3 linked regions of the Oryctolagus cuniculus genome follow. The main gene of each other region encodes a partner of the protein of the gene in region 3 in a complex. Links are inferred from orthologs where the notes say so. Each region holds a gene or a part of one and is shown on either strand. Other genes may lie near its edges. The genes, in order: SF3A3, DDX46 and HTATSF1.

Region 1 (10,003 bases), on a different chromosome or scaffold from region 3:
CCTGGGGCCAGCGCTGTGGTGCAGTGGGTTAACGCCCTGCTTGAAGCGCCAGGATCCCATATGGGCACCGGTTTGAGACTCGGCCGCTCCACTTCTGATCCAGCTCTCTGCTATGGCAGAGGATGGCCCAACTGCTTGGGCCCCTGCACCCGCGTGGGAGACCCGGAAGAAGTTCCCAGCTCCTGGCTTTGGATCGGCGCAGCTCCAGCCGTCGCGGCCAATTGAGGAGTGAACCAGCGGATGGAAGATCTCTCTCTCTCTCTCTGCCTATCCTTCTCTCTCTGTGTAACTCTGCCTTTCAAATAAATAAATAAATCTTAAAAAAAAAAAAAAAAAACAAAACACAACAACAACAAAAGAAAAGAAAAGCAAGGCCATGTGAGCAGCTGAAAGCTGCACAAAGCGCACGCAGCAGAACGCAGCAGAACGGCTGGTCTTCTGGAGGACTCCCAGACACCGAGTACTTGCTCCAGACAAGTGCTGCACCCTCTCTTACACCTTCTCTTCCCAGAAAGGCAGCTATTAAGGTGCTTCAAAAAATCCATGGAAAATAGAATTAAAGCAGGAAGTTCATTTTGGTGTAAAAACATTTGAAAGCCACATATACAAAGGGTCTTCAAAAAGCTTATTATGGAGGGGAAGATGTTTGGCCTAGTACTTAGGTCCCCATTTAAGAAGCCACACTGGAGTGCCTGGGTTCAAGTCCTGGCTTAATTCCTGACTATAGCTTCCTGTTTATATGCACCTTGAGAGGCAGCGATGAGGCTCAACAAGTGATAGGGTTCCTGCCACCCACATGAGAGATTAGGACTCAGTTCCTAGCTTTGGCCTGGGCCAGGCACTGTGGGCATCTAAGGAATGAATCAGCAGATGGGAGGTCTGTCTCCCTCTCAAATATATATAAAAATCTATTTTACAAAGGTCATGGAAAATGAATAGTTTGAATAAAACTATGCATGGATTTTTTTTTTTCAACTCCACACTCTTTATTCTCCTGCCCCTGTACCATGTCCTATGCATGGATTTTTTTAAAGGATTTATTTATCTGAAAGAATGACAGAGAGGAAGACAAAGAGAAAGAGCTCTTCCATCTGCAGGCTCATTCCCCAAATGCTCACAACAGCCAAGGGGGGGCCAAGGCTAAAGCCAGGAGCCAGAAACTTCATTCAGGACTCTCATATGGGGGGCAGGAACCCAAGTACTTGGACCATCATCTGCTGCCTCCCAGGTACTTTAGCTAGAAGCTAATCAGAAGATCAGAAAGGTGGGGTGGCTGAGACTTGAACCAGACACTCTGGTATGGGATGTGGGCATCCCAAGTCAGGGCTTAATTCATGGCACCACAATGCCTACCCCCATGCATGGATTTCAAAATTTCTATGCGCCAAAATAAACTTATTTTTCATGTCATTTTCCCACGGATCTTTTGTAGTACCCTTGTATTTTCCTCCTATTCCTTTCCCTACTTTGTCTCTGAAATAAGAATCTTGGTCACACCAGGACTTTTTCTATCTCCTCCTACCCACCCTTTAGCTTCTTCAAAGACTAAAAAAATAAAAAACAAAAACCAAACAAACAAAAACAAACCCTAAGCTGGCGCCGCGGCTCAATAGGCTAATCCTCCACCTAGCAGCGCCGGCACACCGGGTTCTAGTCCTGATAGGGGCGCCAGGTTCTTTCCCGGTTGCCCCTCTTCCAGGCCAGCTCTCTGTTGTGGCCACGGAGTGCAGTGGAGGATGGCCCAAGTCCTTGGGCCCTGCACCCCATGGGAGACCAGGATAAGTACCTGGCTCCTGCCTTCGGACCAGCACGGTGCGCTGGTCACAGCGCGCCGGCCGTGGCGGCCATTGGAGGGTGAACCAACGGCAAAGGAAGACCTTTCTCTCTGTCTCTCTCTCTCTCACTGTCCACTCTGCCTGTCCACACACACACACACACACACACAACAAACCCCAAACACGGAGGAGTGCTGTACCACTAATTTTCTGGCCCAAGTTTGTCACAGTCTTCTGAATTTGTCACTAAGCCTCCTCACGGTGAGTCACATCTGAAACGCTACTGCCGTGAGCAGCCTTTCTGTCACCTGCCTCTGAGGACCTATTTGCTGGCTCACTGGTGTGATTCTGGAGGCCACACTGAGAGGGGAGTCTACTCTCGAGCCAGAGCCTTGCAAGAATGGATCAACCTTGGGGATATCACCTGACAGCAGAATAGAACTTTCTGAAGCGCCAAGGACCCCAAGAACCCTACTTTGTTCTCAATCAGTTTAATAGCATCCCCTTCCGAATCTGAAAAAAACATCCCGTTAGAGTTGCTCTCTCTCTTACTCCTATACTTTGTAGATTTACAACTCTCCAGAGTCAGTTACTCACCCCAAGGATTTCAACATATTCATAGATCTGCGCTTCCAGGAAAGCAATGTCTTTGTTCCTCTCAGTGTCTCTGAGAACAAGAAAAACTGGTATCACTCAAGGGTTCTTTCATTCAATGCTTTACTCTCTTTAACTGGGAATATCCATTCACAGCTATATTAAAAATTAGAAGCACATGAGAAATCTTACACTGTGAGAGCGCACTGTTCACCTCTGGACTCTCTCACAGGAACATTGAGGGTTTTTTTTTTTTTTTAATATTTATTTATTTATTTGAAAGTCAGAGTTACACAGAGAGAGGAGAGGCGGAGAAAAGGAGGGAGGGAGGGGGGGAGGGAGAGAGAGAGAGAAAGAGAGAGAGAAAGGTCTTCCATCCGCTGGTTCACTCCCCAGTTGGCTGCAACGGCCGGAGCTGCGCAGATCCACACCCATATGGGATGCTGGCACTGCAGGTGGCTGCTTTACCGGCTACACCACAGTGCCGGCCCCAAGGTTAGTTCTTGGAATTGGACCTCCTCTAGAAGGTGAGAGTCCTTCCAAGACCACTGAAGTTCCCACTATTCTAACGTACAAATGAACGAGGCGTAGAGGAGTGTGCTCTGCGGCAACGACTCTGCTACTTGGCTACTGTGAGGCAGTGGACAGACTCCACAACTATCCTTGAATCCTTATCTGCCAAAAATGAGAAACCACTGTAACACTGCTTTTCAGGGTTGCCGTGAGAATTAAAATATCCTAGGGTGGGCATCTGGTCCATCAACGAAGATGCTTTTTGGGATACTAGCATCCTATACCAGAGTGCCTGGGTTTGCCTATCAGCTCCCAACTGTACTTCTTACTGACAGAGACCCTAGGAGGCAGCGATGGTGACCTAAGTTCCTGCCACTCATGCAGGAGATCCAGATTCAGTTCCCAGCTCCTGGTGTTGCTCCCCTAGTCTTTGCAGGCAGCTGGGTAGTGAACCAGCAAGTGCGAGTTCTCTCTCTCTGGCTCTCAAAAAACAAAAAACCCTGTAGCTCAACTGTCTTTGTAAAAATAAACTATTTAGAGGGGCCAGCACTGTAGTGTACCACATTAGGCATCCTGTATCAGAGCAGTGGTTCGAGTTCTGGCTGCTCTACTTCCAATCCAGCTCCATGCTAATGAGTGTGGGAAAGCAGCAGAAGCCCAAGTGCTTGGTTCCCTGCCACCCACGTGGAAGACCTGGATGGAGTTGCAAGGTCCTGGCTTCAGCCTGGCCTAACAGTTGTGGCCATGTGGGGACTGAGTCAGCAGACAGAACATCTCTTTCTCTGTCTCTTCTTGTCACTCTGCTTTTCAAATAGAAAAGTTAATCTATAAACAAATAAACCTAGAAACATATTTTTGAACTTATTCAGTCTTATAGCCTTCAAAACCTATTCAGATAACACTAGTTCAACATCAAACTTCAGTGCTCTCAATTACGGGAGTATAGATTACACTTGGTTTCTACCAACAGTGGCAGTTCTCTGCCAATAGCAGAGATAAAGAGCACAATGGATCTCCATAAGCCAATTAAAGTAATGAAACAGGCTTTGAAATCCATTGCAAAAATTCTGCATGAGAATAAAATTTAAAATCCACATGTGAGCCGGCACTGCGGCTCACTAGGCTAATCCTGCGCCTTGCGGCACCGGTACACCGGGTTCTAGTCCCGGTAGGGGCGCCGGATTCTTTCCTGGTTGCCCCTCTTCCAGGCCAGCTCTCTGCTGTGGCCAGGGAAGTGCAGTGGAGGATGGCCCAAGTGCTTGGGCGCACCCCATGGGAGACCAGGATAAGTACCTGGCTCCTGCCATCGGATCAGCGCGGTGTGCCGGCCACAGAGCGCCGGCAGCGGTGGCCATTGGAGGGTGAACCAACAGCAAAGGAAGACCTTTCTCTCTGTCTCTCTCTCTCTCACTGTCCACTCTGCCTGTCAAAAAAATAAAAAATAAATAAATAATAAAAAAAAAAAATTCACACGCAAAGGCGCCATTTAGCCACTCACCGCTTGGTGCCCTTTGACTTGGGATTTTTGGCGAAGAGAGAGGTGTCAAGGGACTCCAGGGACTTTCCTTTGGTGCTAAACAGCCTCTGGGCTCGCTCTTCGAGAGTTCTAGAGACAGGAGGAACAAAGTATTACAGGGTTACTTCATACCATACATGCTTGCTTGTTTTTACAGTAAGTGATGATGGGAAAATATACAAAAAATACTTAGAAAATCACGTAAACATGTGCACACTAAGTAGGAGTTTCGATAGAAAAGTCATTCTCTTACCCACCACATTTCAGGCCTAAAGCTAAGAGGGCAGATTTCAGTCTGTCCAGACCCAAGGAGGCCAGCTCCTGCATAAATGAGAGAGACAGGTTCCAGTAACACAGAACTAGATTTTGGGCAACAACAAACGAAAGCTGGTGTGTGGGTGCTCCTGAAGTTGGCAGGGCCACGCAGCCCAGAGTCAATCTCCTTGAGGAAGTGCAAAGCCTCCACAAGACTGACTCTGTGGTCATGTCCAGACAGAACCATCTGGTAGTGTTCCATTCCTTCCACCACAACCTAATGTAGTTAGAATTAGTCCTTTTTGGGGCTGGCACTGTGGTGTAGCAGGTTAAGCCACCGCCTGCAATGCTGTCATCCCATATGGGTGCTGATTCAAGTCCTGGCTGCACCACTTCCAATCCAGCTCCCTGCTAATGTGCCTGGGAAAGCAGCGGAAGATCCCCCAAGTGCCTGGGCCCATGTGGGAGACCCAGAAAAATCTCCTGGCTTCAGCCTGGCCCAGACCCAGCTGTTGTGATCATTTGGGAAGTGAACCAGCACATGGATGAGTTCTCTGTCTCTCCCTCCCTCACCATAACTTCAAGTAAATAAGTAAATCTTAAAATTAAAAAAAAAAAAAAAAAAGATTGCAGCATAATTCACGATAGCTAAGATGTGAAATCAACCCAAATGTCCATCAACTGAAGAATGGATAAAGAAATTATGGGATATGTACACCTTGGAGTACTACACAGTGGTTAAAAAAAAAAAGGGAATCTTGTTTGCAACAAAATGGATGAAACTAGAATACATCATACTTAGTGAAATAAGCCAGTCCAATAGGACAAATACTGTATGTGCTCCCTGATAACTAACAGAGCACCTAAAAGGTAATCTATAGAAGTGAAATTGACACCTTGAGATACAATGACTTTGAACAGCCCTTGTCTCAACTGCTGAGGAACATTTTTTTCATACTATTCATTAAACTCTATACTAAGAGTTAATCGTACGTGTATAAAGTTAACTGAAAATAGATCTTAGTGGAAAATAAGAATGGGAATAGGAGAGTGAGAAGGAAGTGGGGTGGGTGTGTGGATGGGAGGGTGAGTATTCTGGGAAGAATCACTACGTTCCTAAAGTTGTACTTAGGAAATGCATGAGGTTTATATTCCCTAAATAAAGGTTTCTGGGGAGAAAAAAAATTACTTTCAAAGCTGTGAATTTATTTTTCTCTTTCCACATTCTCTGTTAACACCTGGTCCCAGAAAATGGTGCCCTAAGATAACGCGTCCATGGCATTAAAGCAGGAGAGTGTGTGGCTGTTTTCAAAGATGGACAGATCAGAGATGCTGCTGACAAAAACCTACCTCCCAGGAGGAGAATGCAGACAGGTCAAGATGGGCCCCAGCATGGGTCAGTGCGCTGCTTGTCTCTTTCTGGCAAGAACAATGATGTTTGTGAAAATCCAGGTTTAGGACCAGAGTAAGGGAGCTGTTTACATTAAAAGGTGTTGGTGGGTCCCTTTTTTATACACATTTATAAATAAGGAGCGAGTTTTTACACGAGCACAGAAAAAAACAGAAGGTACATTTTCTCCCTGATGGATCAGGCAACATCCCCAGGAGTGAAAACACCGATCATCATCACATAATTTAAATGAACTTTGGTCAGCAGGGCTCAGTCAACGGCAAATGGGCCCTGACAAACCTTGTTCCAACGTACACAGAGCAAACCGAGCACACCTGGTAGGAACAACGCCTCACGGCCACAACTGATACCAACAACATCCTAATGCCCTGGGTGGAGGTAGGGAATACTTTTTCTGCCAAGAGCCATCTGGATATTTATAACATCATTCTCAAGCCATCCAAAATCATCAACTTAAAAATTAGCCTGTTATAGAACTTCAAGTTCCACCCGCTGCTGCCTTGGCAGGGCCAGATCAAATGATTTTGTGGGCCTCATACAGCCCATGGGCTGGATTTTCCCCACTCCTGCCCTAAGCAGACACTCAAGATTAAAGGAAAATAAACCCAAACCCCACTGGAGCTCACCGGCCAACCAGGAAAGGTACCATTCTCCCACTTCTTCTCAAACTCAGTCTGAATCTTTCCAAAGAGTTCATTCTGATCTTGGAGGGGCTTCACGCGATCTGTGTAATCCTGAAGGTACTCAAGCAGCATCTCCAGATATCTGACACCACAGACAGCAAACAGTTCTGTTTTCAATACATCGCTATGCTCTCTGTAGTATACTTACAATTCTAATAGTGCTAGTTACTAAAGTAATAACTCATTTTTAAGTTTACAATTGACGTTCCCCCACCGTATCATTTTGATTGATTTTTCCTACCTGCTTTCATCCTTGTGACATAATGTCAAGCACTAAAGTCTTAATTAACTCTTACAGAAAAGATTGCAGGTAAAAAGAAAAACACAGGGAGCTAAGGATGCAGGCTCACTAAGCGGTGGCATAATTAGCATAAATGTAACTTTTCATTTATACAGCAGACCCAGGCCCCTCACTTAAGCCACAATCTGAGAAATTTTTCTTCTCTAAACTCCAAAAACCGAAGTTTCTGAGTGAGAGACTTCCTTCTACAATAAGACAAAATCAACAACAGTACGGGCGTGAAATCGGATGTGCCCACAGACACATGCTTGCCCAAAGTCAGTGTACCACAAATTCTTTAAAACTGTATCATTTACAACCCTAACCTGCAATAAATCTGGAAACCATTCACGTTTGCCTTTCCAGCAGAATTCAGAACGCTTCCCTTGAACCTTCACAGTATCTTCTAATACAATCAAGTAGAGCCCTGGCAGCTACTAACGCTTACCTCTTATACTCCGCATTCTTCCTTTCTTTAGGAATGTCAAATAACTGGTCAAAAATAGACAGGTATGTGATATAATCCAGCTTCTGCAAAGAGGGGGAAAATGGAAAGAGATTCAATTAAGTATTTGCATCAAACTGATGTAATCTTCAGTAAGTGAGATCAAAATTGAGTACTTTCTAAGAAAGTAACAAGAGTTGGCTATTTTAGTCTCCCCCCTACCTCCACCATGGATCAGTCCCCAATATTAGAGATATTTCCACTGGACTCAGTGGAAGGCCAGCAGACACACCACAACTCTACAATGTCAAGATCAAGTTAATGATCTGAAAAGGGGAATTTTTGGAACACTGCACGCCAGAATCTTGGCTGAAGACTTTAACAACCACTACATCCTAAAATAAGGTGCTGAAAGGTACTACTTGTTCATTCATGCACTCATTGAGCATCTTTGTGCCAAGCATGGGGGATGCAGAAGATAACAAGACAGGGTCTGCCATCACAGAACTTAAAGTTGTCACGCACTGTGGGGACATTTCCTCAGAATTTCTTGAGGGAGGAACTTAATCATACTCCTATGTATGGATCACAAAAAATTTTATCCCAAAATAACCTTTCTTTTAATTCCATTTTCCACAAATTATTTGAAGTAAACTTATATACCTCCTTGTGAACTGAGATGGTCATAGTAATCATCTGTTTGCATGAGTAATTTTAAAATATCTTTTAGAAAAGACATTAAACGGGCTGGTGCTGTGGCGTAGTGGGTAAAACCACCACCTGCACTGCCAGCATCCCATATGGCTGCATTTCAAGTCCCAGCTGCTCCACTTCTCATCCAGCTCTCTGCTATGGCCTGGGAAAGCAGAAGATGGCCCAAGTGCTTGGGCTCCTGCACCCACGTGGGAGACCTAAAGAAGCTCCTGGCTGCTGGCTTGAGATCGGCCCAGCTCTGGCCATTGCAGCCATTTGGGGAGTGAACCATAAGGTGGCAGAACTCTGTCAGTAACTCTGCCTTTCAAATAAATTAATAGTAAAAAAAAAGACATTAAATAGCCCTCTGCCAGCAGAGATCATGCTGCTGTATTTTCCACGCACTTAGTATCATGTGTGCCTATCACTAGTATTGTGTGTGCTTCATTCAAGAATGTGATATGTATTTCTGAGTTTATGAAAAGTTTAGTTTTACAAAGAAAACAATGTTTTCTGTATTAAAAAATAAATACACTTAGTGTGTAGAAATTATTGTAGAAATCTTTCATTCTGAATGCTGCTTCATTCCAGAAAGCAGGCCGCCGCTTTGCTGTTTCTAAGCCACTGTAACGTGAGGCGTCCAGTGTTCCCACAGTCCTGACCTCTGCTCCAGAAGCAGAACCTCAGCGCCCGCAGGCCTTACCTCAGACGCCTTCAGGTTAATGTACTTGAGGTAACAGTCATGGAGGTCCAGGTAGCGACCGTATCCCTCTTCATCCGTGAACTCCACCAAATCTGAAGGAATCAGAAAAGGCCAACGCCACTGCAGCTCACTTGCTTGTACGACTTTTCAGATGGACTGCTTCACTCCCAGTTCCAGGAGGCTACCCTTTACCCCCATGTCCTCCTCTCTGCTCACGGAGTGAACACACCTCAGCTTTCCAGGCCACTGAATTCAAGCTACCCTAGCACAAATGGACATGTATTTTGTTCATGGCCAGCTCAGGATATCAATCTCAGCGAGAAATCAGTAAAGGGAAAACCAGCAAAAATAACTGGCTACCAACTTCTCTAGGGCCCCGTGGAGCCGGAGAGCAATGCTGAACTCCACTTACTCTGTGCCTCTTCACTTGGATTCTCTCGAGCCTTCAGGAGCTCCTCAAATTCCACTGACATTGGCACACAGATCTGAGGAAAAGAGAAGTCAGGGGGATTTTTCAATGTAAAAGTGGCAATGTCACAGAAATGGGGTACAAAGAAGGTTCAACTTCTCCCACGCGGCCATCTTCCGCTGGTTTCTCAAGTGCGTCAGCAGGGTGCTGGATGGGAAGTGGAGCATCTGGAACCCAAACCAGCACTCATATGGATGCCAGCATCATAGGCGGCAACTTAACCTGCTGTGCCACAACCTGGCTCCAGAAAGTTCAACTTCTGGTGCTTTATCCGGGGTTTTTCACTAGGAGCCTACCCTAAGTACTCCAATTTCTGTCTAATCCTCTTTGCACTACTTGACTAAAAAACTGTTAAATCAACACATGCTCACAAAAGTGAAATACAAGAAGAGAAAATCAAAGTCCCTCTTCAGGGGCTGGCATCTTGGTGCGGGAAGTTAAGCTGCGGCTTGCGCTGCTGGCATCCTATCCCGTATCAGAGCACTGGACGGAGTCTGGCTACTCTGTTTCTGATCCAGCTCCCTGCTAATGAACCTGGGAAGGCAGCGGGAGATGGCTCAAATTCTTGGGCCCCTGCCACCCATGTGGGAGACCTGGAGGGAGCTTTTGGACCCCAACTTTGGCTTGGCCTAAAACTGGCGGTTGTGGTCATCTGGGGAGGGAGCT
Region 2 (10,003 bases), on a different chromosome or scaffold from region 3:
AATCATCACCACTTTTTTAAAGATATCAGCATGCATTAGAGGAAATTAATACTGGAGTAACCTGAAGACCTGGGTTCTAGGGCAAGCTCCAGGTCTTACTATAAAATGGAGAAAATATCTGCCTTCCTTGGGTGGGAAAAGAGGAAGCAGAAAAAACTAACATAAAAAAAAGATTCTAAACATTCCAAAATTCTAATAGAGTATTACCATAATTCATCCTCCCCTCCTCCAGGTTTACCAAAAGTGTAACTGAAAAAAACTTTTTATATTTAAGACATACAATGTGATGGATTGTTTAAAAATTCATTTATTTGGAAGCTAGGGTGAGAGAGAGGGATGTTCCATCTGCTGGCTCACTCCTGACCACAAAAAGCAGGGCTGCGACTAGACAAAGCCAGGAACCCAGAACTCCAACCAGGTCTCCCACATGGGTGACAGAGATCCAACCAAGAATTGAGCCATCACCTGCTGCCTCCCAGGGTGCGAATTAGCAGGAAGCTAGATCAGAAGTGGAGCAGCCAGGGACCAGTGCTGTGGTACGGGGTAAAGACGCAGCCTACAACTCAGGCATCCCATGTAGGCTCTGTTTCATGTCACAGTTCCTTCATTTCCAATCCAGTTCCCTGCTAGGTCATCCAACTAGGGCCCTGCCACTCACGTGGGAGACCCTGGATAAAGCGCCTGGCTCCTAGTTTTACCCTGGCCAAGCCCTGGTCATTATGACCTCTAGGAAGTCAATCAGAAAATCTCTCTCTGTGTCTCTCCCTCTTTCGGTAACTCTTTCATATAAGTAAATCTTAAAAACAGGGGATAGCGGGTAAGTGGAGGTGGCTGGCTTTGTGACACTGCAGGTAAAGCCTCCACCTGCAACGCCGGCATCCCATGTGGGTGTCAGTTTGAGTCCCAATTATTCCACTTTTGATCCAACTCCCCGCTAATGTTTCTGGGAAAGCAGCGGAAGATGGCCCAAGCACTTGGGCCTCTGTATCTACATGGGAGACCCAGAATAAGCTGTGGGCTTCTGATCAGCCTAGATCCAGCCATTTTAGTCATTTGGGGAGTTAATCAGTGAATGGAAGATTTTTCCCCGTCTCTGTCTCTACCTCTCTCTGTAACTCTGCCTTTCAAATAAACAAATCTTTTAAAAAATTAAAATGATTTTTTAAAAAAAATAGAGTAGTTGGAAGTCAAACCAGCATTTGTATATGGGCTAAGGGCATCCCAAGTAGCAGCCTAACCCACTGTGCTGCAAAGGTGCCACACAATGTGACGTTCCAATACACACACATTGTGAAATCAGCACCCCAATCAGGCTAGCTAACATCACCGCACAGCTAGCATTTTTTCTTTTAGGCAGACATATTAAAGATCTACTCTCTTAGTAAGTTTTAAATATATGACACTATTATTAACTATTGTCTCGATTGTCTACAATCTCCAGAAAGTATGTATCCATCATAACCTAATCCAATTCTACAATTGTTTGCACACTGAGTATGTTTTAAGATTTTAGAGGCAATCACTAGTTGAAACACTAAAATTCAAGATCACTCCGTTTACTGATCATTCAATTTGAGAAAAGAACAAGAACTTGAACGTTTCATTTATAAATACCTACCTGCTCACTGATTCCTGTTCCTCCATAAACACACACCACTCGAAGTCCCAAGGTCTTTGAAAACTTCTTACATTCTTTAGTGATTTGCAAAGCCAATTCTCGAGTCGGAGTCATGATGACAGCTGAAAAGATAAATATGTCAAATCCCTAACCATCAAAATTCTTGAGAGGCTGTGCTTTCAACTGTTAGATCTCTCAGTCTAATTTTTATTTGTATTTGTTTTATGAACCTCTGAAAGCTCTATTTCAAAAACTTTAAAACAGCAGAGGTTGTGGTGAAGGGTAAGTGTTGGTAGATTTTAGGAACATGCTACAGGAAAATAAATGAGACTTAAATGCCACACTCAACCCTTGGGAAAATGGTTGGTTGAACAGAATGCAAATAGTTCTCAACTGCAAATCAAAGAAAATCAAGTGACTCACTGTGCTGCAGAAGCCATACCGCTGCTTCCGGAAACAACCTTGGTCTGAGGGGCACAGACAGAGGAGAAAAATACTGTGCCCTGTATTTCCAAGAGAGGGGCTGGACAACTTTCCAGAACTCCACTTACATTTGCAGAAGATGCCCAAATGAATCAAGAAATAGGAATCAGAAGGCCTAATGCTGGAGCAAATGCTGGCACTGCAGCCTTAAGGCCGTTACCAAGAAAACTCGGAAATCACATCTGCCTAGTTCTCAGCACATCCACCGACACTCGGCTAGAACAAACCTCAACGCAGATAAACAGACAGATGCACGAGGGGCTACCTGCTGAGTCAGAGCATAAAAACTGAGCTGTGCCGGAGAGGCTGTTTTTGTACTTCTGAGATGTCACTCCAGAGCTCCGAAAGTCTCACTCCACCTGCTGGTAAGGGGAAATCAGCCCCAAAGTGCCATATTGAAAAAGGATATGGACACAGAGATATCTTTATTGTCATAGTTAAGAAATGATAAGACATCATGTCCTTCTGATTAACTGACAACAAAGCTGTTAATCCTTTAAAAGTTTAATGAGAAGTATTGTACCTATTGGCCCCTCTCCTTCTTCTAAGGACCTCTGATCCATGATGTGTCTGAACATGGGCAACAGAAAAGCAATGGTCTTTCCACTTCCTGTTTTGGCAATGCCAATCAAATCTCGTCCAGACATTATGGCAGGAATTGCTTGGGTTTGGATAGGTGTGGGCTTTTCATAGCCATGCCTGAAAAGAAAAACCAAAGGAAAAGCAGGTAAGAACTGAGGACTCCGAGTTCCTGAGAGATGTTAAGAATAAGCTCTTCCAAAATGTGACTAATCCATACAACAAAATATTATTTGGCAATAAACAGGAAATAAGAACTAGGACATTTTACAACACAGATGAATCTTCAAGATATTATCATGCTAAATGAAAAAACACACACCAATGACTACATACTGCATAACCCCATTTTTATAAAAGGTCTAGAATAGCCAGTTCTATAGATAGCAGTACAGGGTGGTGGAAATGGGAGAAGAATGACCACTAATAGACACAGGTTCATTTCAGAATGAAAAAAAAAAAAGCTCTAAAATTACATTATGGTGATGGCTGCACAACTCCATAAATCTAACACTGAATTACAGACCTTAAGAGTTAAATTTCATGATATGTAAATTATTCAACAGTACTTCAGAATGGTCATGGAAATTGTGCCTTATCATCTAATTCCATTTTCTACCAACTTCTTGAAGTACATGAAAACATTTAAGAAAAAGAGCTTTTCTCTGTGTGGGTGCAAACTGACGAAATCTTTACTTAATATATACTAAATTGATCTTCTGTATATAAAGATAATGAAAATGAATCTTGATGTGAATGGAATGGGAGAGGGAGCGGGAGATGGGTGGGTTGCGGGTGGGAGGGAAGTTATGGGAGGGGGGGAGCCATTGTAATCCATAAACTGTACTTTGGAAATTTATATTTACTAGATAAAAGTTTAAAAAAAAAAAAAAGCTTTTCTATTAGAGTAAAAACACAACACAGGAAGTTATTTGTGTGAAAGGACTATTTTGAGTACCAACACACGGCAAAATATACACAATCATCACCACTTACTTTTTGAGGGAATTTAAGATCTTCATGGAAATTCCACATTGGACCCAAGATTTAATTGGTTTGGGACAACCTTTTCCTTTGACTGTAATACCTTCCATTTCCAATCGAAATACATTCACCTCTGCAAAGCAAAACCCAGATTAAAAACCCTTAAATACTGTTTGTTGGTGTCTTCTTTTCAGTTAGGAATGGGACAATCAAGAATTCTAACTCCTTTCTTTTTTAATATTATCAAAGATATTTTCATATCGATAATTTTTTTTTAATATTATCAAAGATACAGGAGAAAGCATCAAAAGATTTAGATAGTTAAAGCGATTACCGTCATAATTAACTGAAAATAAAAATCAAAAATAAAAACCCAGACTTCAACAATTAGTTTTTGGTTTTTTAACAGCACAAAAAGGCAATGTCGCCAGCACTGTGGCATAGCAGATAAAGCCACGACCTGGAATGCCAGCATCCCAAATGGGAACCAGTTTGCGTCCCAGCTGCTCAACTTCCAATCCAGCTCCCTGCTAATGGCCTGGTAAAGCAGTAGAAGATGGCCCAAGTGTTTGAGCCCCATGTGGGAGAACCACATAAAACTCCTGGCTTTAGTCTGACCCAGCCCTGGCTGTTGCAATCATCTGGCAAGTGAACCAGCAGATGGAAAATCTCTTAATTGATCTCTCCCTTTCTTTCCATAATCCTGACTTTCAAATAAATAAATCTTAAAGAATAGTGAACGGTAACTCAAACCACTTACCCTCCTAGCAAGAGTTGCCTCACTATCTCTATCCAACCAATAACACACAATAGCTAAAGCTGCTAACTCAAATCTCCGAAGGTAAGGACTCACAGAAATATTTTTAACCTCACATTAGTATTTTCAATGCTAAAAATACCAGATGCATAAGCTGAAGTCATTATTGCTCACTTTTCTAATAATCCCCAACACACGCCCCTTTAACTCACAGCCCACCCCGTTTATCCAGGACAAAGTAAGACAAATCCTCTTTTGTTGCCACTGCAACCAACACATAAATAAAAGAATTTTACCCTCTTGAGACATTTTTGCTAGTTCTGGAACTTCAACATAGAAGTTTTTTCTAAATGGTTCATATTCAATTTTTCCATGATCAACGGGTTCCAGCAGTTTCCTCTGTTTTGTCTGATAGCCTGTAAGGGCCGTCTGTAGATCAACTTCTTCTTCCTCTGAAGAATACTATAGTTTAAAACAGAGAGTTCAGGTTCAGTACTCTACCTCTTACGAGAAGTAACAGTCCTAGTGTTTAAAAGTCTCTTCTTCCAGACACCACTCGACAGCTTTTATTTTTTTGCTTTCTAAAATAGATGACTTGGCCTGTACTTCTGTGCTGCTCCAAAAAACTTAAAACTCCTAATTTCAAACTGACCTAAAATGAAGTCAGTTTTTATGAATGAAGTACCAGGTTCTGAGGAATTTTTCAATTTCTTTTTTCTCTGCCCTTACAGAAACTTACAATGCCAATATAAAGCAAAAACCATTCTCAGAGATGGCTTTAATGAGCTTGTCCTACTGCTCTCACTTATTACATAAACCTTCACAGCATGTTAGTGGAAGAAATGTAAAACTCACTGCCATTTCACTTCCCTTTATATTCGACTCCTGGGGTGAGGTGGGTGGGGTGGGAGAAGGAGAGAGTGAAAGATTCAGAAAGGTTCACCAGTGGTCTCTTTAACAACAGAACTACTGCACGGCTAAGAACAGCAGGAGTCCCTTCCAGTGGCAATCTGCAGAACTGACTGCACACCCTCCAAGGACAGGATCACAAAGTCCCCGAACCAGGAATCACCTCCATGGCATCCTGGTCGTTCTCCATCAGCTCCCCCTTCTTCTTATCAGCGTCCACGACTGCTTTCTTGGTTGTCACAACAGTGACGACTTTTGTGACCGTGGGTCCAGACTTCTAAAATCGAAAGGGAAGATACAAGTTTGCAAAACTGAAACAGAACTCACATGCCAAACGAAGCACAATAACAGTCACAGCTTATGATTCAAATCAACTTCATTGTGATCCTTTAATCATAGAGAAGACTCTGCTGTGCTCCTTAGCATAGAAGTTTAAATGAAATACATTGTATTTTATAATGGATTCAAATATAGTTTGTTGCATAATACAGTTTTATAAAATGATTATATATAGACTATTTTTCACTCATGAAACAAATCAGGCACTATTCTAAGAGTTCAGATGAATAAATAAGCAAAACATTAGTGCTCACAGCCTTTGGGAAATTGTATTTTAGAAGGGGAAAAGCACAAAGAGTAAATGCAAAAAAAATTTTAATTGTATAATGATGGGGCCGGTGCTGTGGCATAGTGGGTAAAGCCATCTGCAATGGGAACATTCCATATGGGCACCAGTTCAAGTCCCAACTGCTCCACTTACAATCCAGCTCCCTGTTAATGTGCCTGGGATGCAACAGAGCATGGTCAAGGCCCTGCACCCACTTGGGAGACCCAGAAGCAGCTGCTGGCTCCTGGCTTTGGACCAGTCCAACTGGCCACTGCAGCCATTTGGGGAGTACACCAGCCAATAAGACCTCTCTCTCTGTCAATCCCTCCTTTTCTCTATAACTCTGCCTTTCAAATAAATAAATAAATATTTTTTAAAAAAATCAAAATTTTATAATGTTAAGAGGCAATAAATAAATGCTATTTAAAATGAAAAGGGGGAAGGGGCGGCACCATGGCAGAGTGGGCTAAGCCTCTGCTTTGTGGTGCCAGCATCCCATATGGGCACCGGTTCTAGTCCCACCTGCTCCTCCTCCAATCCAGCTGATATGGCCTGAAAAAGCACTGGAAAATGGCCCAAGTGCTTGGGCCTCTGCACCAGCATGGCTCCTAGCTTTGGATCAGCCCAGTTCTGGCCATTGCTGCCATTTGGGGAGTGAACCAGTAGATAGATGGAAGACCTTTCTTTCTGTCTCTCCCTCTGTATGCAACTCTACTTCTCCAGTAAACAAATAAAATCTCATTTAAAAAAAAAAAAAGAAAGAAAGAAAAGAAAAAGAGAGTCAATGGTTGGAGTCCTGGCAGCTCCACTTCCAATCCAGCTCCCTGATAAGTCTTGGGAAAAGCAACAAAAGATGGCCCAAGTGCCTGAACTACTGCCACCGTCATGGGAGACCGAAATGAAGCTCCTTGCTCTTGGCATCAGCATGGTCTAGTCTTGGCTGTTTCAACTATCTGGGAAGTGAACCAGATGGAAAATCTCTGTCTCTCTCTCTCTCTCTCTCTCTCTGTCTCGTCCACTATCTCTATAACTGACTTCCAAATAAATAAATCTTAAAAAAGAAAAAAAAAAAAAAAAAAAAAAAGCCAGAACAGGATGACAAGAGTCAAGTATGAAAACTTGAAAAAGTAAAGTGCTAAGGGCCAGCACTGTGGCACAGTAGGTTAATCCTCTGTCTGTCTGTGGCACTGGCATCCAATATGGGTGCCAGTTTGAGTCTCAGCTGCTCCTCTTCCAATTCAGCTCTGTTGTGACCTGGGAAGGCAGTGGAAGATGGCCCAAGTCCTTAGACCCTCTTCACCCACGTGGGAGACCCAGAGGAAGCTCCTGACTCCTGGATTTGGTCTGGCTCAGCTCCGGCCACTGCGGCCATTTGGGGATTAACCAGGGGATCAAAGACCTCTCTCTCTGTCTCTCCCTCTCACTGTCTATAACTCTACCTATCAAATAAATAGCTAAAATCATTTTTTAAAAAATGGAAAGTGTTGGAGAAGTCTGTAGAGGACGTACTGAGAAATAATGAGCAAGGAAAGACATTGCACAAACACAGTATGGAGGGCAAAGTGGCCTGCTGAAGAACATTTCACACCTAATCTCGGTGTCTCTGGCACCGAGAAACAGTACTGCCAGCTCTGAGAAGGGAAAGAAACAGAAAGCACAGAGTTCACATGCAGAGAAGAGCGTACCTTCTCATTTCCCCCGCCACCTTTCACACTTCTCATGTTAAACTTCTTCACTTCCTCCTTCACCTCCTCCATGTAAGCGTCGAGCGGGTCCAACTCCTCACCCTCCACTTCATTCCCGTCCTTCTCAGCTTCTGCAGCATCATCTTCATCATCTGAAATACCAAAACACACTGTCCTCGCACGGGTGTTCTGCCAGACTGACGCCACGCCCACCCTGCTAGCCCTCTCCCACCCCTCCATGCCAGGCACACTGCAGTTCGGATGCTTACACTTCGAAGTTCTCACATTTATGGAAAGCAGTGGATTCCTTCTGAATAACAAGAATACTGATGAATGAAAAAAAGCCAGCCGGCACCGCGGCTCACTAGGCTAATCCTCCGCCTAGCGGCGCCGGCACACCGGGTTCTAGTCCCGGTCGGGGCGCCGGATTCTGTCCCGGTTGCCCCTCTTCCAGGCCAGCCCTCTGCTGTGGCCAGGGAGTGCAGTGGAGGATGGCCCGGGTGCTTGGGCCCTGCACCCCATGGGAGACCAGGAAAAGCACCTGGCTCCTGGCTCCTGCCATCGGATCAGCGCGGTACGCCGGCCGCAGCGCGCCGGCCACGGCAGCCATTGGAGGGTGAACCAACGGCAAAAGGAAGACCTTTCTCTCTCTCTCTCTCACTGTCCACTCTGCCTGTCAAAAAAAAAAAAAAAAAAAAAAAGCCAATGGCCTACAAATCAATTCACCGAAAAGGGAAAAAAAATGAACTGCACCTTAAAAATTGGTCTCCAGTATTAGATTTTATAGCTACACTGCTAGAAGAACTAAAAAGTCTGTCGTCTAGTATAACAGTGAAGTCACACTCCACAACAGAGCATGAGACCACGTCCCACTTCCACTTGTAGTCCAGCTTCCTGCTGATGAGCACCTTGCATTAGGCAATGGCTCATTTGGGTACCTGGCTCACACACAGAAAACTCAGACTGAGTTCCAGGCATGTGGTTTTGGCCTAGACTAGATCTGCCAGGTGTGAACATCCAGGAAGTAAACCAGAGAATCTGAGATTCTTTCTCTCTGCCTTTCAAAGAAATGAAGGGCCAGCGCCGTAGCAGGTTACGCAGGTGAAGCCACCGCCTGTGGGTCCAGCATCCTATATGGGCACGGGTTCAAGTCCCTGCTGCTCTACTTCTGATCCAGCTCCTGGCTAATGTGCCTGGGAAAGCAGCAGACAATAGCCCAAGTGCTTGGGCTGCTGCACACACACTGGAGACCTGGAAGAAGCTCCTGGCTCCTGGCTTCAGCCTGGCCCAGCTCTAGCCGCTGCAGCCATTCAGTGAGTGAACCAGCAAACAGAAGACCTCTCTTTCTCTCACTCCCTCTAGATCTGCCTTTCAAATAAAGAAATCTTTTTTTTAAAATGAAAATAGGTTTGTTTTAAAGAGTTTCTCTGTTAAACTATGTTTTTAATTTTCTCCTCAATTACCTTTAGGAAAAAAAGCACCTCTATTAAATCAACACAGTATAATCTTTTTCACATAATTAAGACCACTTATAGACAGAATGCATTCATCTAATTAAACCACTCTTAGTAATTTTCACAGAAAATGGACCAAAATTCGATATTCCTATAATATAAAAGTCCAAAACCTTCCAATTTACTAACAGAAAATCTGATATGGAAGGGAAAAGCGTCTCTCCTCAATTATGAAACATCAGGAGGGAGCTAAAAGCGCACCCTTAATTTACTCTCATTACCAACATTCACACAAGCAGTAAACAAATAAAACCGCTATTTACAAACTATGCCTATAGCTCTCTTTACTCTTAAACATCCATCAGCAATTCTTACTGAACTCTACAAGTGAAATTCAAACATAAACATTAAAAGGAGCATTTAAAGACACAATATTGACCCAGCAATCCTACCACTACACACACACCCAAAGAACTGGGGACAGGAACTCAGCAGGTGTTTCTGCATCCATGTTCACAGCCCAACTGGTGATAATCAAAAGCCGACACCAGGCGGGGTGCTCGGCCGGCCCGTCAGTACTCTGGAGACTTGGCTCAGTCCCATACGGCAGTGCCTTATACGGGACTGAGCTCCAGCTCCCGATTCCACCTTCCTGCTAAGGCAGACCTCAGGAGGCACCAGGGTTGGTACAAGTAAATGGGGCCCTGCCCAGCACCTGAGAGACCTGAACTGACTTCCTGGCTTCCTACTTTGGATAGGCCCAGTCCTCGCCACTGTGGGTATTTAGGAATTAAACATGCAAATTAGTGCTGTGTCTTGCTGGTCTCTCAAATAAAACTTTAAAAAGTGAAAAAAATCTAAGTGGGACCAGCGCTGTGGCACAGCAGGTTAAAGCCCTGGCCTGCAGTGCTGTCATCCCATAAAGTG
Region 3 (10,391 bases):
AGCAGAAACTAAGAAGCAGTGCAGAAAGCAGAAGACAGGCAGCAAAAAAGCCATACTTTCATACTGCTGCTGCTATCCTAGCTTTCTGTAATCTAGCCTGGGATGAACACTGTATATTAACATTACAGTCTTTAAGTTCTGCAGATAACTAAAATATGAACACAAGACAATCTGTTTATGCTTTCTGATGGTAATGCATCTTAAACACCATAACATCAGTATTTCCTTGCTTTAAAAACCTTGGTAAAATAAACCTATAAAATTCCAAACAACCAAATGTCAACTTTACATGATGAAGTATTTCTGCTATGTAGTCGTTTTATGTGCCAACTGGTATCCAAGAATTTAGGCTATTTGCAATATCAACTTGTGATTTTGGAAAGGAATAAGTTGAACTTTTTTTTTCTTGTATCAAGAAGTTTTTTACTTAGTTATAAACAAAGCCAGTCATGTAACATGAGATGTGGTAAGAAGCAAACATCTCTTCAGCCAACTGATTTTTAAAATTTCATTTTTAGATACATTTTTGCTTATTTCAAAGGCAGAATGAGAGAGAGAAAGGAAGAGACAGAGAAAAATGGGTTCATTCCCTAAGTGGCCACATCAGGCAGTTGGCCAGGTAGAAGACAGGAGCTAGGAGCCAGGATTTCCTTCCTTCTCTACCACGTAGATGGCAAGGACCATCTTCAGCTGCCCTCCCAGGCACATTAGCAAGGAGCCATAATTCTGGCTCCAAACCAGCTCATTTCAAATGAATTGAAGTGAGCATATAAAAACAGGCATGCATCTGAAACTTTATAGGGAAAAAACAATCCATAGGAATATTGACAACAGAGGCCAGGTTGTGGCACAGTGGGTTAAGCCACCATCTGCGATGCTGGCATCCCATCTCACATTGCTGGTAAGGTTACAGTCCTGGTGGCTCCATTTCTGAGCCAGCCCTTTGCTAATATGCATGGGAAGGCAGTAGAAGATGATCAAAGTGCCCCTGCCACTCATGTGGGAGACCCAGATAAAGTCTTTGGCTCCTGGCTTCAGCCTGACCCAGCCTCAGTCATTGCAATCATTTGGGGGAGTGAACTAGCAAATGGAAGAACTCTGTGGTTCTCATTCTTTCAGATAGAAATCTTTATTTAAAAGAATATTGACAATATTCATGAACGGCACATTTACAAGCCTCTCTCTATTCTCTAAGCCATGGATTTGTTCAAATTAATTAAGAGCACTTCTTTGCATTACATGAAAATGTTTGGCTTTAAAAAATGTGATTCATCTTATTATTTGGGAAATGCTTAATATTAGCTAATTCCTATCTTCTCTCAGGGCCTCAGAAATAACCAATTTACATTAGGGAAATAGATTACATTCTGAAAAGGAAGAGGTAATGACTTCCAAATGGACTGCATTGGCTCCCCAGGGTGACAAGGAGAGTTACTACTTGCAAAGGAAAAGAGACATACTTAACAAAAACTATTCCAATTTTGCCTTGTTAAAGTTTCTGTTGTAGAAAGCAATAATGATTTCAGCATTTCAGTAATATTGCCAAGACCAGTATTTTTTTTAAAAAATATCTAATGTGAAGTTTCACATTTGTACTCATACAAGGTACTCATAGACTCAGAAAACAAAGCATTCACACCATTTAAGGCATGCCAGAAATCAACTTCTGGTTCATGAATTTATGGTTGAATGCATTATTCAATATTTTGTGTAAATTAAATAGCCTAGTGAGCATTAAATTTAGAAATTCTATCAGATAAGTTTCCAGCATTTCTGTACTTGGAAGCCACCTCCCAAAATTTATTCCCTTTTGATAACAGTATGTATTGTTGCTTTACAATAGTTTTCAGAACCAATATAAAACCTAATTCATAATCATGTGGGTCTGTGTGCCTCATGACTTAATTTCTATCATGTCTTATTTACCACTTTATAGTTCTTTGGTGTCTTCTTTGAGTGTTTATATGAAAAGAACATGAGTATTTAATATCAACCAAATTAAAGAGCAGGAGAAAAGAGGTCAAGATGTGAGGGCAGCCTCCCATAACTGAAGCCTCTTTCCACACACGCATAGAATGTGTGTTTACACAGGAGATGGTAGCATGCCAGGGTCAGCAATGTTTTTAGTGCAGTTCCCAAGCAAAGTTTACTACATCCTTAATGTATTTTCCATCCCCAAATGGTGGAATCTTTACTAAACAATGGTTAATATCTGAACAGACTAGATGTACCCATTATCTTTTGACAGATTCTGGATTCCCAAGAGTGCATTTTCATGTAGATGGAAATGCCTTCCTTACAATGACCTTAATTTGTTATCAGCTATGTATCCTAATCACTGTGTAAATATTCTTTTCATTTAGGAAATCAATTCTCCAATAAATGTTCAAATGCTTCTTGATTATCTTTAAAGGGAACACTATGTGGTATGCAATTTTTCTTTTTAACTTCTTAAACTAGTTTCTTTTAACTACTTACAGACTTATCCCTGGTGAAAATCCTGAGGATTTTAAGAAATCCCCAGAGAACATCTAAAAAGTTGTTAAGACAAATGACCTTGAAGTATAGAAGCCCTTTTCTAAATAGGGTAATGATTACACTTACAGACACTATGATGAAAGAACACCGACACAATTTATTTTCTGTTTTATAAGAAAACTTCTGAGTGCTACAAATTAAATGCATCAATTCTGAATTTGGATATAATGAAGAAAGATTCACAATTTTATTGGGATGACACAACTCTGTGTAATGCTAGGCACCGAGATTCTAAAACAAAAATGAAAGCAAACTGAAGTGTGCAAGATAAAGGTACTTAAGTTCAGAGGATCCATGAACCTCCCCAAATAGTACACAAGCAGCTGTGTAGTGTGTATGTGTACATTTTCCTGTAAGTCCCAAAACTGTAATCAACTTCTAAAGAAACACAAAAGGGTCAAGAAACAGTGTAGGGTAGAATTCTAATCTCCTTCCCTATACTTCCAGTAAGATCATTTGTGTATATCTAACAGTTAATTTTAATAACAAAAAGGTAGAAAACAAATAAAAGGTAACCTGCAAGGACTGGGCTATGAAAAAATCCCGAGTGTTATTTCCTTTATGGGCTTAGCAACAGGTTCCAGTTTAGAGAAAGAAAATGGGGCTGTAGCGGTTAACACAAGCTGAGAGAGAGAGACTCCAGCAGGATTTTTCAAGTCCTTAGAAAAACCAACCTTTAGTATGAATAAAGCAATAGCAGGAACTCCAAATCCAGTGTAACTCAAAGTACAATTTTCAGTTTTTGCATAATTCAACTTATTTTTATTTTTTTAATATCACAAACTTCAATCAGAATACTTTTAAAAATATTATTCTGCATGCATTTAACAAATCTGACAAAAGGACAAATATCCAGTTTACTTGCATCATAACTGAAGTTTTAACTGAACAGCCAAAGAACACATTTAAAATCATTAGGCACAGGTAACAATGAAAAAAACTCCAATGCATTAGTATGATGGCAGCCTACCACTATGCACATGTTCATATAACACTACTAGTAATGACCCTGAAGCACAGGCAAATGGAGATGAAGGACTCTCCCTAAGAAGCAAGTTTAAGGGATCAAATATCATCATCATCATCACTACTGAGGACAAAGCTGCTGCCTGTGGACAGGGGCCCTTCTTCCTTAGCATTCTCAAAACCACCCAAAGTCCCTTTCTCATCAGAATCGTCAAACAACTTCTCATTGGAATTCTCCTCCTCGTCAAATAACTTCTCATTGGAATCATCATCTTCGAATAACTTCTCCTCTACCTCATCACCTGCCTTCATATCTGCATCTTCTTCCTCTTCCTTTTCATCAGAATCTTCAAAGAACTTTTCATCTGCATTGGCTTCTTCCTCCTTTTCGTCAGCATCTTCAGGCCCCTTTTCATCTGCTTCTTCATCCTCTTTCTCATCAGACTCATCTTCGAAAACTTTTTCATATGGATCTTCCCCTTCTTCCTTCTCCTCTGAATCTTCATCAAACTCTCTCTCTGAGCCTTCCTCATCTAACACTCTCTCAGAGCCCTCATCATATTCAGATCTGTCTGTATCATTTTCTTCTAACTCATTTTCAAGAACATTTCCATGAGATTCCTGATCAGAGCCATCTTCGTCAAAATCTCTTTCAACACCGTTTCCTTCAAATTCTTTTTCAGAGCCATCTTCAGACAGTTTTTCTGAGTGTTCTTCCTCAGATTCTCTCTCTGAGTCATCCCCTTCAGACTCCTTTTTGGGGCCACCCTCCTCTTCAGAATCCTTGTTGGGGTCATCTTGCTTGGACTCCTTCACAAAGCCATTCTCTTCATAATCACTTTTGAATCTCTTCTTTGGAGATTCTCTTTCTCTTTTAGAGCCATTCTCTTTCAACTCCTTTTTAGGAGTCCCCTCTTCCAACTCTTGTCCAGGGCTGCCTTCTTCGGACTCTTTCTCAGGGCAGCCTTCTTCACAATCTCTCTCAGGGCAGTCTCCTTCAGACTCTCCTTCAGGGCAGTTCTCTTCACATTCTTCTTCTTTGGCCTCTTTTTTGGGGCCACCTTCTTTAGCATCATTTCCAGAAGCATCTTCTTCAAAGCCTCCCCCATCTTCTGCCTTTTCAAACTTCTCATCAATAGGTTCTTCAAGCGCCATTTCAGTTGCGGAATCTTCAGCATTCATTTCAGATGTGCCAGGGTGCTCTGAAAAGTGCCTTACTCTAGAAGGCCCTGCCCTTTCTGTTGCAACAACAGAATCTGATCGCTGAAGGCCTCTGTTGGCCTCTGGAGCATTGAGGAAAGCCTCCCATCCTCTCAGCCTTTCCTCCCTTTCTCTGGAGGTCTCCTCCACCTGTGGATAAATAGAAACTGTCATTAAAAAAAAACTTTTAGGCAAAAAGAAGTAACCTCTCTGGGCATTTCTAATATTGATCAATGGTACCTCTTCTTCAGAAATTAAAACAATTCCATCTTAAATTTTCAAAAATTTCCATCTTGGGGCAAGTGTTGTGGTAGTGCATTAAGTTGCCAGTTGGGATGCTCACATCCCATACCGGAGTGCCTGGGATCAAGTTCTGCTTCTGTTTCCAATCCACCTTCCTGCTAACATCCACCAGGGCCCAAGTACTTGGGTTCCAACCACCATCCACATGAGAGACCCAGTTGCAGTTCCAGGATCCTGGCTTTGGCCTGGCCTAGCCCTGGCTATTGCAGACATTTGGGGGAGTGAACTGGAGGATGGGGGATCTCTCTCTCTCTCCCTGTCGAACTAGTTAATCAATTAATTTTAAAAAACTTTACATCATGATTTACCAGAGTTTACCATAAATAAGATCATTTAAATAAATGAAACCACCACAGTACTGTAGCAATTTCTCACCTTTTCAAAAGTTAATATTTTAGCTCCAACTGTACTTTATGACATAGAAAGGAAGAGAAACATTTTGGCTCAATGTCTTCTTTTCTTACACTATCCTAAGCCAGCCTCAAAATTTCAGACTCATAAACTGGAAGACTGAAATATTTCTCTTACTAACCTTCAGATGCAAAATAGTATTTAAAATAAGTATTGCTACATTAAACAGATAAAACGGAACCTAAAACCTAAATGTGAAGGGCTGCTGTATTAGTACTTGTTAGTGATGATGCAATGGATGTGCCCTTGACAGCTGCAGAATTTACCTGATAATCTGTAGTCCCATCCCATGCTTCAGCAGTGATTTGACGGCCACCAAACCACCTTCCATCAAGGGTTTGAATGCAATAATCAGCTTCCTCTGGATCCCTAAAGGACACAGAGGCTACACCATCTGGGTGCCTCTAGAAAGACAACAAGGAAAAAAAAGGAACAAATGATAAGATAAAAACATAAGACATACAAGCATGTGACACAGTAGGTAGGGAGTAGCGTTCTCTTTGCTACTTTAAGCTAAATGACTTTATGTATTATTTCTTCTCTTTGATCACAGCTTGTAAAATGCAGCCAGCTGCTTCTTTAGCTTAGTCTTATCTAGCAAGAACCAAGCAATGTCCTTGGAAATGCTTTTGCTGACAACACTGTCTAATGCGAGGCAAGAAAGTATAACCGTTAAGAGTGTAAACTCTGAAGCCAGATAGCCCTGGAATGAAATCCTGGCTTTGTTAGTTACCAGCTGAATGACCTTGGACAAAGTGCTCAATCTCTAACATTTTAGCTCCCTCATCCAGAAAATGGGTGGAATAATGCCTATATACCTCCAAGGGTTATGAGAATTTAATGGGATAACATGTATCACACCATGTAGTACACAAGCAATGGTGACTTTTAATTATTATGCTTTAATTTTGGAAGCACAAAAAGGATACAAAGGGGAAACATAAAGAAGAATTATCTCTCCTGATTGTTTCAAATATGCAGGGAGAGAATAATTCCCAGAGAGGGAGAAAGGCAGGCAAACAGGGAATCATAAGGTCTCATACATTTTTCTTGTACTTTATTTTCCTGATCAAATATTATAGAGTGATGATGAAGAAAAATGAACAAGGAATAACCAAATCTATCAAAGCTTTGACTTGCAATCTATGTTTATCTAATTATTACTAACTAAACACTAACACAAGATAGCAGGTCGTCTATATAAAAATATTCATCTAAAATTCATGGGCATCTAAATGTCTGGTCACCACTTATTCAGTGGGAAGAATGACTGATCTAGGATTCATTTGTCCAAGCCATGAACTTACATCAAAGAGAAGGAGCTTCTTAATTTGTCCAAACTTTGAACACTCTACTCGAAGGTCTTCTCTTATCTCATTCAACACCAAAGGATCATCCTGCAAAAATACAAATGATTAAAATGAATTTTTGCTCACTTCTTTAACTATAAATCCTGAAAAATATCTTGTTCTTACTAACTGAATAAAAAAGCATTTTGCTTAAGGTTGGTTATGCTTGTCTACAGTTTATAAAATTAACAACAACAAAATCAAATGAAGCTAGACTACTTGAGCCACTGTTACTACGACAATATGTCCCGCTTTAAGATAGAAGAAATAGACAAATATGGCAGATGGCAGAAGGGGTGTACAGTGGTAAGGGAAAGCCAAGAGAAGTATCAATGGCAATTCCAAATCTACATCAACTGTGATGGCAGAAGTGTGGAACATGAGTAACGACTGCTAGTTCCTATGTTGTCTATGGCCATCACAATGGAAGTGATGAGAGCCTTTTGTTTTGTGTTTTGGATAGATTCATACTTGCAGAAACGTTAGAATGCAGAGAAACATAGCCTTTTCAATGACTAAGTATTCTATAATTGATTTTCAGGCTTCTAAGAGTCTATTTTAAATCACAGGGTAAATCTTATGAGCATTCCTGTTCATCTTGTCTCCTACCACATTGCACTACCCGATGTTAAACAGACAATAACATACATTCTTGCTGTTGCTTTCTTGCAACTATGAACAACTCTAATAAGAACATCCAAGCACTACTGTTTCTAGTAGCTTTAAATTCAGGTAGACTTTCCTCCCCATAACAAGAGGTTTAAAGATTTTCCTTAGGGATTTCAATTCAATCCCATCAAGGTGGCATGTACCAAGGTATCACTAGTCAAAGTGATCAGTTTCAGTTCACAATTGATCATAACATAGGATTAAGAGTCAAAGGGATCAAAACAAGACTAGTGTCTGCTAATACTAACAGATAGAATTAAAAGGGAGAGAACAATCCAACATGGGAAGCGGGATACACAGCAGACTCATAGAATGGCAGATGTCCTAAACAGCACTCTGGCCTCAGAATCAGCCCATAAGGCATTTGGATATGGCTGAAGAGCCCATGAGAGTATTTTAAGCATGGAAAGCCAAGACACTCAGAAAAAAAAAAAAAGACCTAAATGAAAGATCTCTGTGAGTGAGATTCCAGTAGAAAGAACAGGCCATCAAAAGAGGAGGTACCTTTCTCTGAAGGGAGGAGAGAACTTCCACTTTCACTATGACCTTGTCTAAATAAGATCAGAGTCTGTGAACTCAAAAGGCTTCCATAGCCTTGGCAACTCATGACAAGAGCCTAGGGTGATTACTGACGCCATAAACAAGAGTGTCAATTGTTCAATCAACAACAGGAGCCACTGTACTCCCCATGTAGGATCTCTGTCCCTAAAGTGTTGTACAATATGAATTAATGCTATAACTAGTACTCAAACAGTACTTTACACTTTGTGCTTCTGTGTGGGTGCAAACTGTTGGAATCTTTACTTAATATATACTAAATTGATATACTAAATTGAAAATGAATCTTGATGTGAATGGAATGGGAAAGGGAGCGGGAGATGGGAGGGCTGCAGGTGGGGGGGAAGTTATGGGGGGTAAAAGCCACTGTAATCCAAAAGCTGTACTTTGGAAATTTATATTTATTAAATAAAAGTTAAAAAAAAGATTCCCTGTAGAAATTAACAAATTTTTCTCCAATCCTCAATGCCTGAAAAAGACAGAAAAAGAAAATCAACCTGAATTTCAACTACATACAAATAGAAGATATCCTTCTATGAATTTCTATTTAAGTCAACTTACACTTTCTGGGAAGCACTTAAATGTATCTATCTTTCTTACAGAGTTTTTTTTTCTCAGCAACTAAGGAAGAAGTGCAAAGAACTACAAAAACAAAAATGGCACTCCTGCCCTGAAGTTCTCTCAAAATGCAAAAATAAGCAACTAGGTATGCATTTACTAAAATTAGATTCAAAATAAAAAATACAAAGTCCTACTCATTTTCACAAATCTGAGGCTTCTGAAATTACACTTGGAAGACTCTGGATTTCCCTACTTATAAATATAATTTTGAAGAAACGAATTTGTTTCCTACAGAATTATAACACCAGAGAAGAATGCATTAAAGTCACTGGTAAAGTCATGTGGTAGCCTTTGGTGATGTGTGTGTCTGGTCAGCTACTATGAGACTGTATGCTTTCAAAAGGCAGGAGCTTTGTTTTACTGCATTTTGTATACCTTGCAGAATACCTCCTACAGTACAGACTTTCATACACAGCCAACAATCAATAAAAGCTTTTTCAGAATTTGATAAATTGTTCCTAATATCTCTTTTATTCACCAATGGAAATCAGGATTACTTAAAAATAAACAAAACACTCAACAATTTTAAATCTAAGCATTCCCATTAGGGTGTGCAGGGTAGGATGTGGTGGGGTGGAGGCATCAATTTTATTTCTAAACCAACTTTTTGGTTCTTTTCCTGTAAGATACCAAATCTTAGCCAAAGTCTCACCAGATCTCCATGTTTGTTTTTACCAGCTTTGAAAAACTGATCTATATTAATTGCTGAAGCTAAAAGATAATAATCCCTTCTTTAGGAATACTATTTTAACCTAGCTGGGTACATGTAGAAATTTTCTAAGAAGACTCTGCAAGCAATAGACCTCAGGCTAAAATCAGATTCATATATTAAAACCCTCTGTTGGCCCGTGCTGCGGCTCACTAGGCTAATCCTCCACCTGCAGCGCTGGCACACCGGTTCTAGTCCCGGTTGCTCCTCTTCCAGTCCAGCTCTCTGCTGTGGCCCAGGAAGGCAGTAGAGGATGGCCCAAGTGCTTGGGCCCTGCACCCACATGGGAGACCAGGAGGAAGCACCTGACTCCTGGCTTCGGATCGGCACAGCGCGGGTCATAGCAGCTGTTTAGGGGGTGAACCAATGGAAGGAAGACCTTTCTCTCTGCCTCTCTCTCTCTCTCAGTCTAACTCTGCCTGTCAAAATAAACAACAAACAAACAAACAAAAACCCTCTGTAGGCCAGTGCCACAGCTCACTTGGCTAATCCTCCAGCTGCGGCACAGGCACCCCGGGGTTCTAGTCCTGGTTGGGGCGCCGGATTCTGTCCCGGTTGCTCCTCTTCCAGTCCAGCTCTCTGCTGTGGCCCGGGAAGGTAGTGGAGGATGACCCAGGTCCTTGGGCCCTGCACCCACATGGGAGACCAGGAGGAGGAACCTGGCTCCTTGCTTTGCATCAGCACAGCGCACCGGCTGCAGCACCCATTTTGGGGGTGAACCAACGGAAAAGGAAGACCTTTCTCTCTGTCTCTCTCTAACTCTGCCTATCAAAAAAAAAAAAAAAAAAAAAAAAGACCCTCTGCAGTCAATCCTTAGGATTTTTAGGGTATTGTTTTGTTTTTCCCTGGAAGAAATAAACCACATTTTTTGTGCCTTTCCAATCTAAATTTATGCTGGTAAAGTTAGCTAGTAACCACTATCCACACACACAGCTACTGTGTGTCATACAAAAGAACTGCACCTAATTAAAATTAAGGTGTTCTGTAAGGGTGCAAAGCATACCAGATTTTGAAGATTTAGTACCAAAGGGAAAAAGAACAATGTAACATAACTCATTAATATTTTT

What was found.
Region 1: HTATSF1 (region 3) and SF3A3 share a complex: the UniProt entries of both Homo sapiens proteins name them as parts of the 17S U2 SnRNP complex. The link is inferred for Oryctolagus cuniculus from reciprocal best matches to the Homo sapiens genes HTATSF1 and SF3A3.
Region 2: HTATSF1 (region 3) and DDX46 share a complex: the UniProt entries of both Homo sapiens proteins name them as parts of the 17S U2 SnRNP complex. The link is inferred for Oryctolagus cuniculus from reciprocal best matches to the Homo sapiens genes HTATSF1 and DDX46.

Annotation. Positions count from the first base shown.
Region 1 is NC_091438.1:134,821,097-134,831,099, reverse strand, and holds part of SF3A3 (splicing factor 3A subunit 3), read right to left. Parts: intron 9,354-10,003; coding exon 9,281-9,353; intron 8,961-9,280; coding exon 8,869-8,960; intron 7,559-8,868; coding exon 7,476-7,558; intron 6,830-7,475; coding exon 6,691-6,829; intron 6,073-6,690; coding exon 6,004-6,072; intron 4,720-6,003; coding exon 4,652-4,719; intron 4,489-4,651; coding exon 4,381-4,488; intron 2,443-4,380; coding exon 2,373-2,442; intron 1-2,372. UniProt on the Homo sapiens protein: Component of the 17S U2 SnRNP complex of the spliceosome, a large ribonucleoprotein complex that removes introns from transcribed pre-mRNAs.
Region 2 is NC_091437.1:22,994,239-23,004,241, reverse strand, and holds part of DDX46 (probable ATP-dependent RNA helicase DDX46), read right to left. Parts: intron 7,775-10,003; coding exon 7,623-7,774; intron 5,608-7,622; coding exon 5,494-5,607; intron 4,884-5,493; coding exon 4,718-4,883; intron 3,798-4,717; coding exon 3,677-3,797; intron 2,801-3,676; coding exon 2,625-2,800; intron 1,741-2,624; coding exon 1,619-1,740; intron 1-1,618. UniProt on the Homo sapiens protein: Component of the 17S U2 SnRNP complex of the spliceosome, a large ribonucleoprotein complex that removes introns from transcribed pre-mRNAs.
Region 3 is NC_091453.1:114,307,271-114,317,661, reverse strand, and holds the end of HTATSF1 (17S U2 SnRNP complex component HTATSF1), read right to left. Parts: intron 6,816-10,391; coding exon 6,726-6,815; intron 5,823-6,725; coding exon 5,685-5,822; intron 4,855-5,684; coding exon 3,604-4,854; 3' UTR 2,616-3,603; downstream 1-2,615. UniProt on the Homo sapiens protein: Component of the 17S U2 SnRNP complex of the spliceosome, a large ribonucleoprotein complex that removes introns from transcribed pre-mRNAs.